2 linked regions of the Drosophila melanogaster genome follow. The protein of the gene in region 1 interacts with the protein of each later gene in a pairwise test. Each region holds a gene or a part of one and is shown in the gene's direction. Other genes may lie near its edges.

Region 1 (4,841 bases):
AGCTTCTGCTTGCATTATCATGACCGAGGAGAAGGCCAAGCAGCTGGGCCTCAAGCCCAAGGCCTATCTGCGCGACTTCCTGTTCGTGTCGCAGGATCCCGTCAACCAGCTGCTGCTGGGACCCGCCTACGGAATTCCCAAGCTGCTCAAGAAGGCTGGACTCACGCTGAAGGACATTGACTCGTGGGAGATCCACGAGGCGTTCGCCGGACAGATCGTGGCCAATCTGAAGGCCCTGGACTCCGACTGGTTCTGCAAGACTTACTTGGGCCTGAACGAGAAGGTCGGCACTCCCGACCTGTCCAAGTGGAACAACTGGGGCGGTTCTCTGTCCATCGGCCACCCCTTCGCCGCCACAGGAGTCCGCCTCTGCATGCACACCGCCAACCGCCTGGTGCGCGAGGATGGCAAGTTGGGCGTGGTCGCCGCCTGCGCGGCCGGTGGACAGGGCGTGGCTATGCTCATTGAGCGCTATCCGGGCGCCACAGCCGACTGAAATCGCCAATTAATCGACAAGGAGGAGAGTGCAGTTTAACTGCGAGATTGCTAGCTTTTATACACCTTACAACTACGTCTATACGAATAAAGAAATCTGAATTTTACAAAACAGTTTAATTTCTAACAGAGCACCAGCCTTTCAAACAATCATTAGATGTGTCTAACTAATCCTATTCGGTCTCGTAGAGCTCCTTCTTCCGCAGCTTCGCTTGCAGAATGTCGTTCTCGTTGTAGGACAGGTGCAGCGGGGGTATCAGGGCGCAGGCCACCATTCGGTTCTCGGCATTCAGGAAGTTGAAGGTGGCACATGCCTGCAAAGAGTGCCATTCAATATGGATATAGATCGGGGAGTGATTAATACCTACCTGCTCCGTGCGCAGGATCTCTACGTTTATCTTGTACTTCTTCATGAACTCGATGATCCTCTTGGAAAGAGCTGGGGGCGGTGCTTGGTCGCCAATGCCAATGATAAGCACGTCGATCTTTGGCTCCAGGGTGGGGAAGAGACTGAGGCTGTCCTCGTTGATGTCCTCAAAGCTGTTGACGTTCCAGGACAGAACCGATCTGTAAGTAGTAAAACATAAAATTAAACTTTAGCTTCAGATAGTAACTTATGACATATTAATACTTATAAACAATATCACTATTAAAAGCCATCGAAAGCTTATAACTTAAACAAATAGAGGCTATAAGGTAAGAAGTTATTGAAATAATTAAAATTTAAATTAGCATTCAAAAAGCCTTTAACAACTATTGGTAGTTTTTACATCAACATTTTTTTGTATGAAACTTTAAATGAAGAAGTCATTCTCTTTGACTTTTCCCAATAAATCCTTGACTTCTGTTTAATAAACTCAAAGGCGTGCATAACTAAGCTTGGGATTGGGATTGTATGATCATCAGAGTGCCATGGCATAAATCACATGCACTTGTTTACATAATTGGGTGAGCCAATGCATCCGTCGAAGGCCACCTACCTGGGAAACACGGAGATGGGGCCAATGAGGACCATGTCGTTGTTGAGCCGGAAGCCGTACTGGCTGTAGCCGGTGACCATAAGGCCCAGATCCGTTTCGGTGTTGAAGATGGTGACTTTGGTCTTCCCGTCGTGGTCGTAGGCCTTGCTGAAGTTGGCCGGAATAGCGTGAAGTGGGCGACAGGCGGTGATGCGCGGTAGCAGAAGGTTGCGACCTTGCCGGCCCACCGTTCGCAGGGTGCGCGCAATCATGGTCTTGTGTTAGAAAAGTAATTAATGGCTATTACAACAATTTAAAACTATCAAAATAGACTGAAGTTGAAAAGTTTAACCGGTTAGAGTGACCGGAGGTGCCCAAAGCGCGCGGGCCGAATGTTATCGATAGCGCTGGATTCCTCGCTGGTGCACGATATTTTGCGCGACGCTGGCCACACTGGTCGGCCATTAATTTACGAAATTTACGAACAATTAACATAAACTTTTACATTTATCCGTGTGTTTTAGCAATAACTATCTATCTATGTGCTATTGTTGACTACGTCTAAGTGCCACAGTGTCTGCAGGCTGCAACTCCAACAAGTTGCTCGCATTACCCCATCGCAGTAATAAATACTGCAATGTTTTGATACAGTCTATATTCGTTTTCAATGATTCAGCAAGGCGGTGAGTGCCAATTCCCCCAACGCAATGGCCGCAGCTATCACCCATATCACCTATATCACTTCGATCGCCAATTCCAGCCCATAAATGGTTCCATTACCATATGCCCACTTATCAGGGAGCACCCCTCCACCAACACACGCACGCCCAATGAGTGTGTGTGTGTGTGCTGTGTGTGTGATGGATTGCTGCGTGCACGCACACTCCTGCAGCCAATTAGAAGCCCCGTTAATCGGCATTGGCAGTTAAAAGGTTACTAATAGCGCCTATAATTCCCAGTGCCTCGCCAAAAGCTTCCGCAAATACCTGCAGATAGTGGAACAGATAGTGCGCTGCTTCGGCTGGGCGGGCTGAGGTGGGGTGTGTGTGTGTATGTGTGGGTGCCCAAGTGGGCTGATTTAGTCATCCAGTACCAGTAACTGACCATATTGCTCTATTCTCCCCGCCTCTTTCGTCACTGCGGTCGCTCCCCAAAGTGTCAAAAATTCCTTCGATAAGAACGCATTGCCAGTGGTTAGTTGTTAGCTTTCACTCTTTGATAGCTGAGCATTATTATGATCGCATATACGATTTCAGAATTTCAGAAGGGGATTTCAAAACCCTGCATGTTGCTTGCCAAACTTTTTATGCCGTGCGCGGCTTATCTTGACAACTACTTCGCTTCGATAAACCATATTGATCAGCTTCACTTCTTTCCGCCCCACAGCTGCGCCCTGAAATCAGCCCGATAAGAACTTAGTGTTAAGCGCTACCTCAAAGTGTCACCATGATCGGACCCAGTTCGCAGATCAGCAAGATCCTGCTCACCCTGCTGTTCCTGCTGATCATCTTCTACGTTTTCATGGACGTGGAGCTCTACCTGCGCATCCACAACTATGCCATCGAGAGGAACTATCACACGAATGTCTCGCTGCCCGCCTCCGTCGTGGGTCCGTCCACCTCGGAGTCCGGGTCCGGCAGCATCGGTGGTAGCAGCAGCAGCAGCAGCAGCAGTAGCAGCAGCACCAGTACGAAACTACCCACCGCCGGCGACCGGCAGCCGTCCTACGAGGACCACACCTGGATATCCTGTGATATAAATCCGCTTTGCCATGTGACCGTGAAGGCCATTCTGTTGGACCACACCAACCACTACCTGTTCGCCCCGCTGGCCACCATGTTCGACAACGTGATCGGCTTCTCGCGCTCCACCTTCATCACGCCCAACATGATATCGTTTTTCCATGTGGGCGTGGCCTGTCTGGCGGGCAAACTGGTGGCCTCGGACAGCCTGGGCTATCGGCGGCTGGGCGTGCTGCTCTTCCAGATCCGCACCTTCCTGGACGACCTGGACGGGCATGTGGCGCGCGTGCGCAAGCACATACGCGGCGAGCGCTCGGAGATCGGCACCTCCGGCTACTATGTGGACGGCCTGTGCGACGGACTCGGCTGCATTGCGCTGCTGCTGGGCATATTCTTTTACCTGAAGAACAATCCACCGCGGAGGGGCTACTCGATCATACCCATGAGCGACTCCAAGCTGCCGGAGCCCACCATGATGATACCGAAGATGAAGGCCACCACGCGCAAGGTGGCCAAGAACGTGATCAGCTTCACGGGCCAGCTGCTGCTGAGCTCGACGGCGTGGAATCGCTACATTGCCGTCTACCAGAACATGCTGGAGCGCGAGGACGTGAGCGGCAACCAGTCGCATTGCCAGGATTACGTGTTCAAGTCGACCTGGTTCTTCTGCGTCGCCTGGATGTGGCGCATCGTCAACGTGCACGCCCTGCTGCACTGCGTCCTGCTGAGCATCTTCTGCGACAAGCTGTGGGACTTCCTGCGCGCGATCCGGTACAGCGGTTACATTATCCTGTTAGTTGCTATATGTTTAACTGAAATGCACATTCTGGAGGCCCAGAACTACATTTTCAACTCTACGGCGTGCAGTAATATTTCACTGTGATTTTACTAATATTACGAGAAAATACAATAATATTTGTGTAGTGCAAATCAGCGATGCCTTTTTTAATTGTGTATAAATAATAATGTATCATAATTGTTAGCCAATCATTAATATTTCGAAACCAACTAATGCATTTTGTCATTCAAGCGCGGTCTGCAAGAGCAATCGAAACTCCTTCAGCTGTAAATAATAAATGTTATTGATTAATAAAGTCTAGCTGTTTTTATCGTACGCATTTCCATGGCGAGCTAATTTCGTTTGAATTTATTTATAATGTTTTGTGTTTCGAAATTTCAAATGAACACGATGCGCAATGCTGCCAAGTTTTTTTTTGGTATAGCTGATGGGCAGCACTGCAAGGTTTGGTATTTTATTCGACAGTACCAAATGCCAATATAATTGCCATATTGTAATGTAATATATTGCTTAGATATTCATAGTGGCAATCAACGCTCATATAGTTTAATAAAGAGGCTATTAAAATTTATGTGACAATGCACTGTTTTAACTAAAAATAATACACTTTTAGTATATCTACCCGCCGGCTGGTATTTCTCACTAGCCCTGTTCGGCCACACTGCGCATACGTCAGGCGATACATACAAAGGAAAAGAAAATCAAAACGGAAAGCGAGAAGAAATGCTTCACTCGTCGTTTGAAAATTTGTTAAGCTGTCAATTGTAAATATTACCTGATTCCTATTTCGCACCGATTGAAAGTGGTTGTGCATCGAAGCGTGTGTTGTGTCAAGAACCGAGCGTG
Region 2 (4,805 bases), on another chromosome or scaffold:
ATGGTCATGTAAAAGCGATGCGATAGATATTAGCGCATTCTCCGTTCATCTGGTTCGATTTCGACTGCGGTATTAGGAGCAAAAGATCTTCGGTTAACTGCCACATGCCACTTTCGAACGTATCTGCATTTCCCCTATTCAAATTATAGCCGAGTGTTATAAGAAAGTATACAAATCTAATCCATAAAATTGTAATAAAAATTAAACCAGAATAAAAACACCACACAATGAGGATGGGGTATCCGTTTATATTCAGTCGCGAAGTACAACAAATATTTTATTTAGTGTATGAAAAGTTAAATGTGGATACAAAGGAGGTGAGAATCTGAGTTTCGGTTGAACTATCCTGTGTGTTGATCCTTTTGTTTTTTCCTCTTCATTTATTTTTCAATTTTCAATCAGCTTCTGTTCTTCTATTTTTTTTTTTTTTTTGTTTCTTATTTTAATTTAATTCAATTGCTGGGTGTGCCTCTGCAGGTATCTTACGCTACAAGGTGGATTTCCAGAGTATGCAGCTCGATGAATTGGACAATGATGGCTTCGATCTAGATGATTACTAGGAAATGTATCTGTAGAAATGAATTTGCCACTACGTTCGACCGCAAACTGAACTGCAACTACAACTATATGAATCCAGGAAATCAAATAGAATATTTAAATAATATGAGAAAACACAAACCTTCTTCCATTTTTACGTTGTTGGCGAAAAAAGTAAAATTTTAAATAATGCATATAGATACAAACGATAAAATGTTAAATCGAGGAAAACATATTAAAATGCAACCGTTTTACGTGAACAAATTTGCAATTTGAATATATTTTCGAGGGACTAGAGCTCTTGTTATATAATTAATTGTTCCTCTATAAATCTAAATCTAAATCTACATTGACAATACGCCACGTTTCCTAAAGTTTTTGGGTACAAGGAGAATTGTATCTGTGAGTTTTAATCGTTCTATTATAGCTTGAAAACGAAATTTGCACCGAAAGCTGATAAAATTCCGACTCTGCTATCTGCTGGATAAGTAAAATGCTGGTAGCCACTTGGAGTACTACCAGTACAGCAATGAAAGTAAAGTGAAATGGGCATTTCATTTTCTACTTTCTATTTGCAGGCACACTGGAAACAGTTTACTGCGAGATTCCCACTTCATTAGTTGGCAATGCACGTGGACGACAGCAAAAAGCACTCGTAGTACTTGTTTCGCCCTTGATTTGCATCTAAGAATCGCTCAGATACATCTGGTGAGCTGAAACTCGTTTCTGAGCCGCAGTGTCGTGCAGGTATCCGTACTCGTTTGAATATTTGTAAGTAATCATTGCAGCGAGACTTCCAAAAAGTAAGCTCAGCTAAGTTCTGCGGTGTTGGGCATCCAATTAGTTGACCAAGTTTTCTGGTGGCATGCACATGAAACTTGTTTAATCGATAGGGTAAATATGCAAATTTCGATTGAATTTGACGATAATGCGTCGAGATGAAAAGAAAACGAATTGTGCAGGATTTTGGTTACGAGATAAGCCGAATCAGCTAATAAGGCACGTGCTTAATTGATATATATTGTATGTTTAAGTAACCTAAATATGCACGACTTTAATATCACTTTTATTTCGCTTTCGTAATAAAACGAGGTTCACTCTAAAGAGCACAAGCGTGGAGGTGTATGTGTGTTCTTACAGCCCCGATCATTTGTATTTCCATTTGAGTGCGAGCGAAGACGAGGGTTTACAACTTGATGAGAATTTGATCAAGATAACATTAAAACACAATCTGCTGCAGTCGGACGGGGCACTTCTGATTGAATCGTCGACGGAAGAGGTTCGGATCTCGAAAGCCAAAAATAATCAGCCTTTTACTGGCCAATTGAGATACGGAAACTTCTACCGACCGAGTGTAGTATGGCTGAATCAGTGGATGGAGCAGAGACTGTTGACCAGATTCGCGATGGCCTCATGGACGACTGGAAGATCCTGGAGAACGTATTCCACCTTCTCCGGAAGGAGGATACCTTCTGCGTGGATCCCCAGAAATGGGACAAGCAGAAGATAGTCCCCTTTTTGCAGCCAGACAAACTTAAGGTGAGTGGAGCAAGTGATAGACGATTCGGCGTCTGCCGATGTGGAGATAACCAGAGATAACAGAGAACTGATTAATGGAAGAGTTCATTCGAAAATTGACCACCCGACCGCAAATTGTAGCAATTGTACTATGGCTTGCCCGACGAAATGTGAGTCAATTGATAGTAGCACTTCCTGATTGAGCACACTCATGCTAGTATCTGATAGTTTTAATTATAATTGAATTGTTTGTTATTTCATAGATTATGGTCGGTTTTTTCTGGGTAAAGATATTATTAGTTCGAAACAGAAAACGTTTTAGAAATATGTTGAATCTTTAATATACTTTCTTATTGCAAAAGTCGCTGTTCTATAACAATCTTGAGATTACATGATTTCGCACCATCACTTCCAGGAACTGATTAACCTGAAGGTTCGAGAGACGGAAAACTGCTCGCTCGCGGAGATCGAGGAGCTGTGCCAGCAGGTGATCCATTACTCTGTGAAAACCTCGCACGGCCGCTTCCACAATCAGCTCTTTGGCCAGCTGGACCCGTTTGGACTGGCAGGAGCCCTGGTCACCGAGGCCATGAACGGCAGCACGTAAGTCTGCGCCTTATTCCACACATGTGTCTTGTCTATATGAGTGACCGCTGATTGCATCTCGTGTTCCAATCTACAAGTGGTGTCGGGGTTCAACGTACAGATAATTGCGCTATGTAATGGAGATTGCAAAGTACTACATGTATGTTTCATAACCCCCCCCCCCCCCTTTCGATTAATTTAAATGGGGATTAAGCAGAGTTCATACACAATCATTGCAAGTTATTAATCATTTAGATGAGATTTCCTAGATAGGACTACCAAAATCAGACTTTTAACCGAGGTATCCAACAAGACACAATAAACTTTTGTTTCAGATACACCTACGAAGTTGCGCCCGTGTTTAGCTTGATCGAAACTGAGGTGATCGCGACCATCTGCAAGTTAGCGGGATACAAGGAAGGCGATGGCATCTTTGCGCCCGGTGGCTCCACCTCCAACATGTACGGCATGGTTCTGGCCCGCTATAAGATCGCGCCCGAGGTGAAGACGTCTGGAATGTTTGGAATGCGACCGCTGGTGCTCTTTACCTCCGACGAGTCGCACTACAGCTTCGTGAAGGCGGCCAACTGGCTGGGATTGGGCAGCTACAACTGTGTGTCGGTGAGGACCAATGAGCGGGGTCAGATGCTGTTGGACGACCTGGAGGCGAAGATCGCAGAGGCAAAGGCACGTGGCGGTGAACCGTTCTTTGTCAACTGTACTGCAGGCACCACTGTGTTGGGTGCCTTTGATGATATCAATGGTGCGGCGGATGTGACGGAACGACATGGTCTGTGGCTCCATGTGGACGCCTGTCTGGGAGGCGCTGCACTACTCTCCGCCAAGAACCGATCGCTCATTGCCGGCCTCGAGCGGGCGAATTCGTTTTCCTGGAATCCGCACAAAACCATCGGCGCTCCATTGCAGTGTTCACTCTTTTTGACCAGGGAATCTGGCCGTCTGCTGGAAAGATGCAACAGCACCGAGGCGCACTATTTGTTCCAGCAGGACAAGTTCTATGATGTATCCTACGATACGGGAAACAAGAGTGTCCAGTGCGGCCGCAAGATCGACGCTTTCAAGTTCTGGCTAATGCTTAAGGCTCGCGGATATGGAAAGTATGGACTCATGGTGGACCACGCCATCCACATCGCCAGGTTGCTGGAAGGCAAGCTGCGCCAGCGTGGAGATCGCTTTAGACTGGTGATCCCGGAGCACGAGTACTCCAATGTCTGCTTTTGGTTCATTCCGAAAGCAATGAGGGTGTCCAGCGAGGAGGAGACGCCTGAATGGTGGAGTCGACTTTACACTGTAAGTGAATAACAATGGCTTTGATAGACCATTTAAGCTCACATTTTTATATGCTCCTTTAAAGGTGGCCCCGAAAATTAAGGAGCAAATGGCCCACAGCGGCACTTTGATGATTGGTTACTCGCCTCTTAAAGCTAAAAATCTGGGCAACTTCTTTCGCATGGTCTTCACTTGTTTTCCCATCCTGAAAAGCAAAGAGTTGGACTTCATTTTGGACGAAATTGAGAGATTGGGCGAGAAAATTGTGCTTTGAATTATTTTCTATGTGAATTAAGCTAATTAATGGAAATCGTTCAATTGTACATTTCATTGTAGTTATTACTTTGTGATAAAAAATACGCCTTTATTATGTAAACTCGGCTTAATCTCTATTTTGAATATTTAAATAAAAATCTTTCAAGAAATGAATATTAAGTTTTTTAAATTCATTTTCTACCGCTATCAACAAATAATATTAGCCTGGTCACACGAACATCCCCCAGCAGTAACTATCGATAAAAGTGTTCACGGGTATTGTTGTTATACCCCAGCGCGGTCATACCTTTACGTGAGATCAAAACAATAAGTTTTTGTTGAGAAATTATTTGTAAAACCACGCACATAAAAAGACGCTACGATGGGTCGCGCCGAGGTAGGTACGCCCAAGTACCTCGCCAACAAGATGAAATCGAAGGGTCTGCAGAAGCTGCGCTGGTACTGCCAGATGTGCGAGAAGCAGTGCCGCGATGAAAACGGCTTCAAGTGCCACACGATGAGCGAGTCCCACCAGCGCCAGTTGCTCCTCTTTGCGGACAATCCTGGCAAATTCCTGCACAGCTTCAGCAAAGAGTTCTCCGACGGCTACATGGAGTTGC

Evidence for each region. Proteins that work in one complex are often made in the same cells at the same time.
Region 2: the proteins of Cpes (region 1) and CG5618 interact in a two-hybrid assay, tested with the Drosophila melanogaster proteins (one large-scale study listed by BioGRID).

What each region holds. Positions count from the first base shown.
Region 1 is NT_033778.4:23,862,408-23,867,248, reverse strand, and holds Cpes (ceramide phosphoethanolamine synthase), read left to right. Parts: upstream 1-1,850; 5' UTR 1,851-2,137; intron 2,138-2,352; exon of another isoform or gene 2,353-2,489; intron 2,490-2,526; exon of another isoform or gene 2,527-2,647; intron 2,648-2,840; 5' UTR 2,841-2,900; coding exon 2,901-4,079; 3' UTR 4,080-4,287; downstream 4,288-4,841. Other genes in the region: Mtpbeta (mitochondrial trifunctional protein beta subunit), read left to right, coding at 1-496; CG5569 (uncharacterized protein), read right to left, coding at 669-809, 864-1,062, 1,476-1,726. UniProt on the Drosophila melanogaster protein: Catalyzes the biosynthesis of ceramide phosphoethanolamine (CPE) through the transfer of a phosphatidyl head group from cytidine 5'-diphosphate (CDP)-ethanolamine on to the primary hydroxyl of ceramide.
Region 2 is NT_037436.4:20,352,330-20,357,134, forward strand, and holds CG5618 (uncharacterized protein), read left to right. Parts: upstream 1-1,590; 5' UTR 1,591-1,896; coding exon 1,897-2,076; intron 2,077-2,470; coding exon 2,471-2,658; exon of another isoform or gene 2,659-2,800; intron 2,801-2,975; coding exon 2,976-3,951; intron 3,952-4,015; coding exon 4,016-4,204; 3' UTR 4,205-4,303; downstream 4,304-4,805. Other genes in the region: eRF1 (eukaryotic translation release factor 1), read left to right, coding at 1,116-1,225; kin17, read left to right, coding at 4,568-4,805.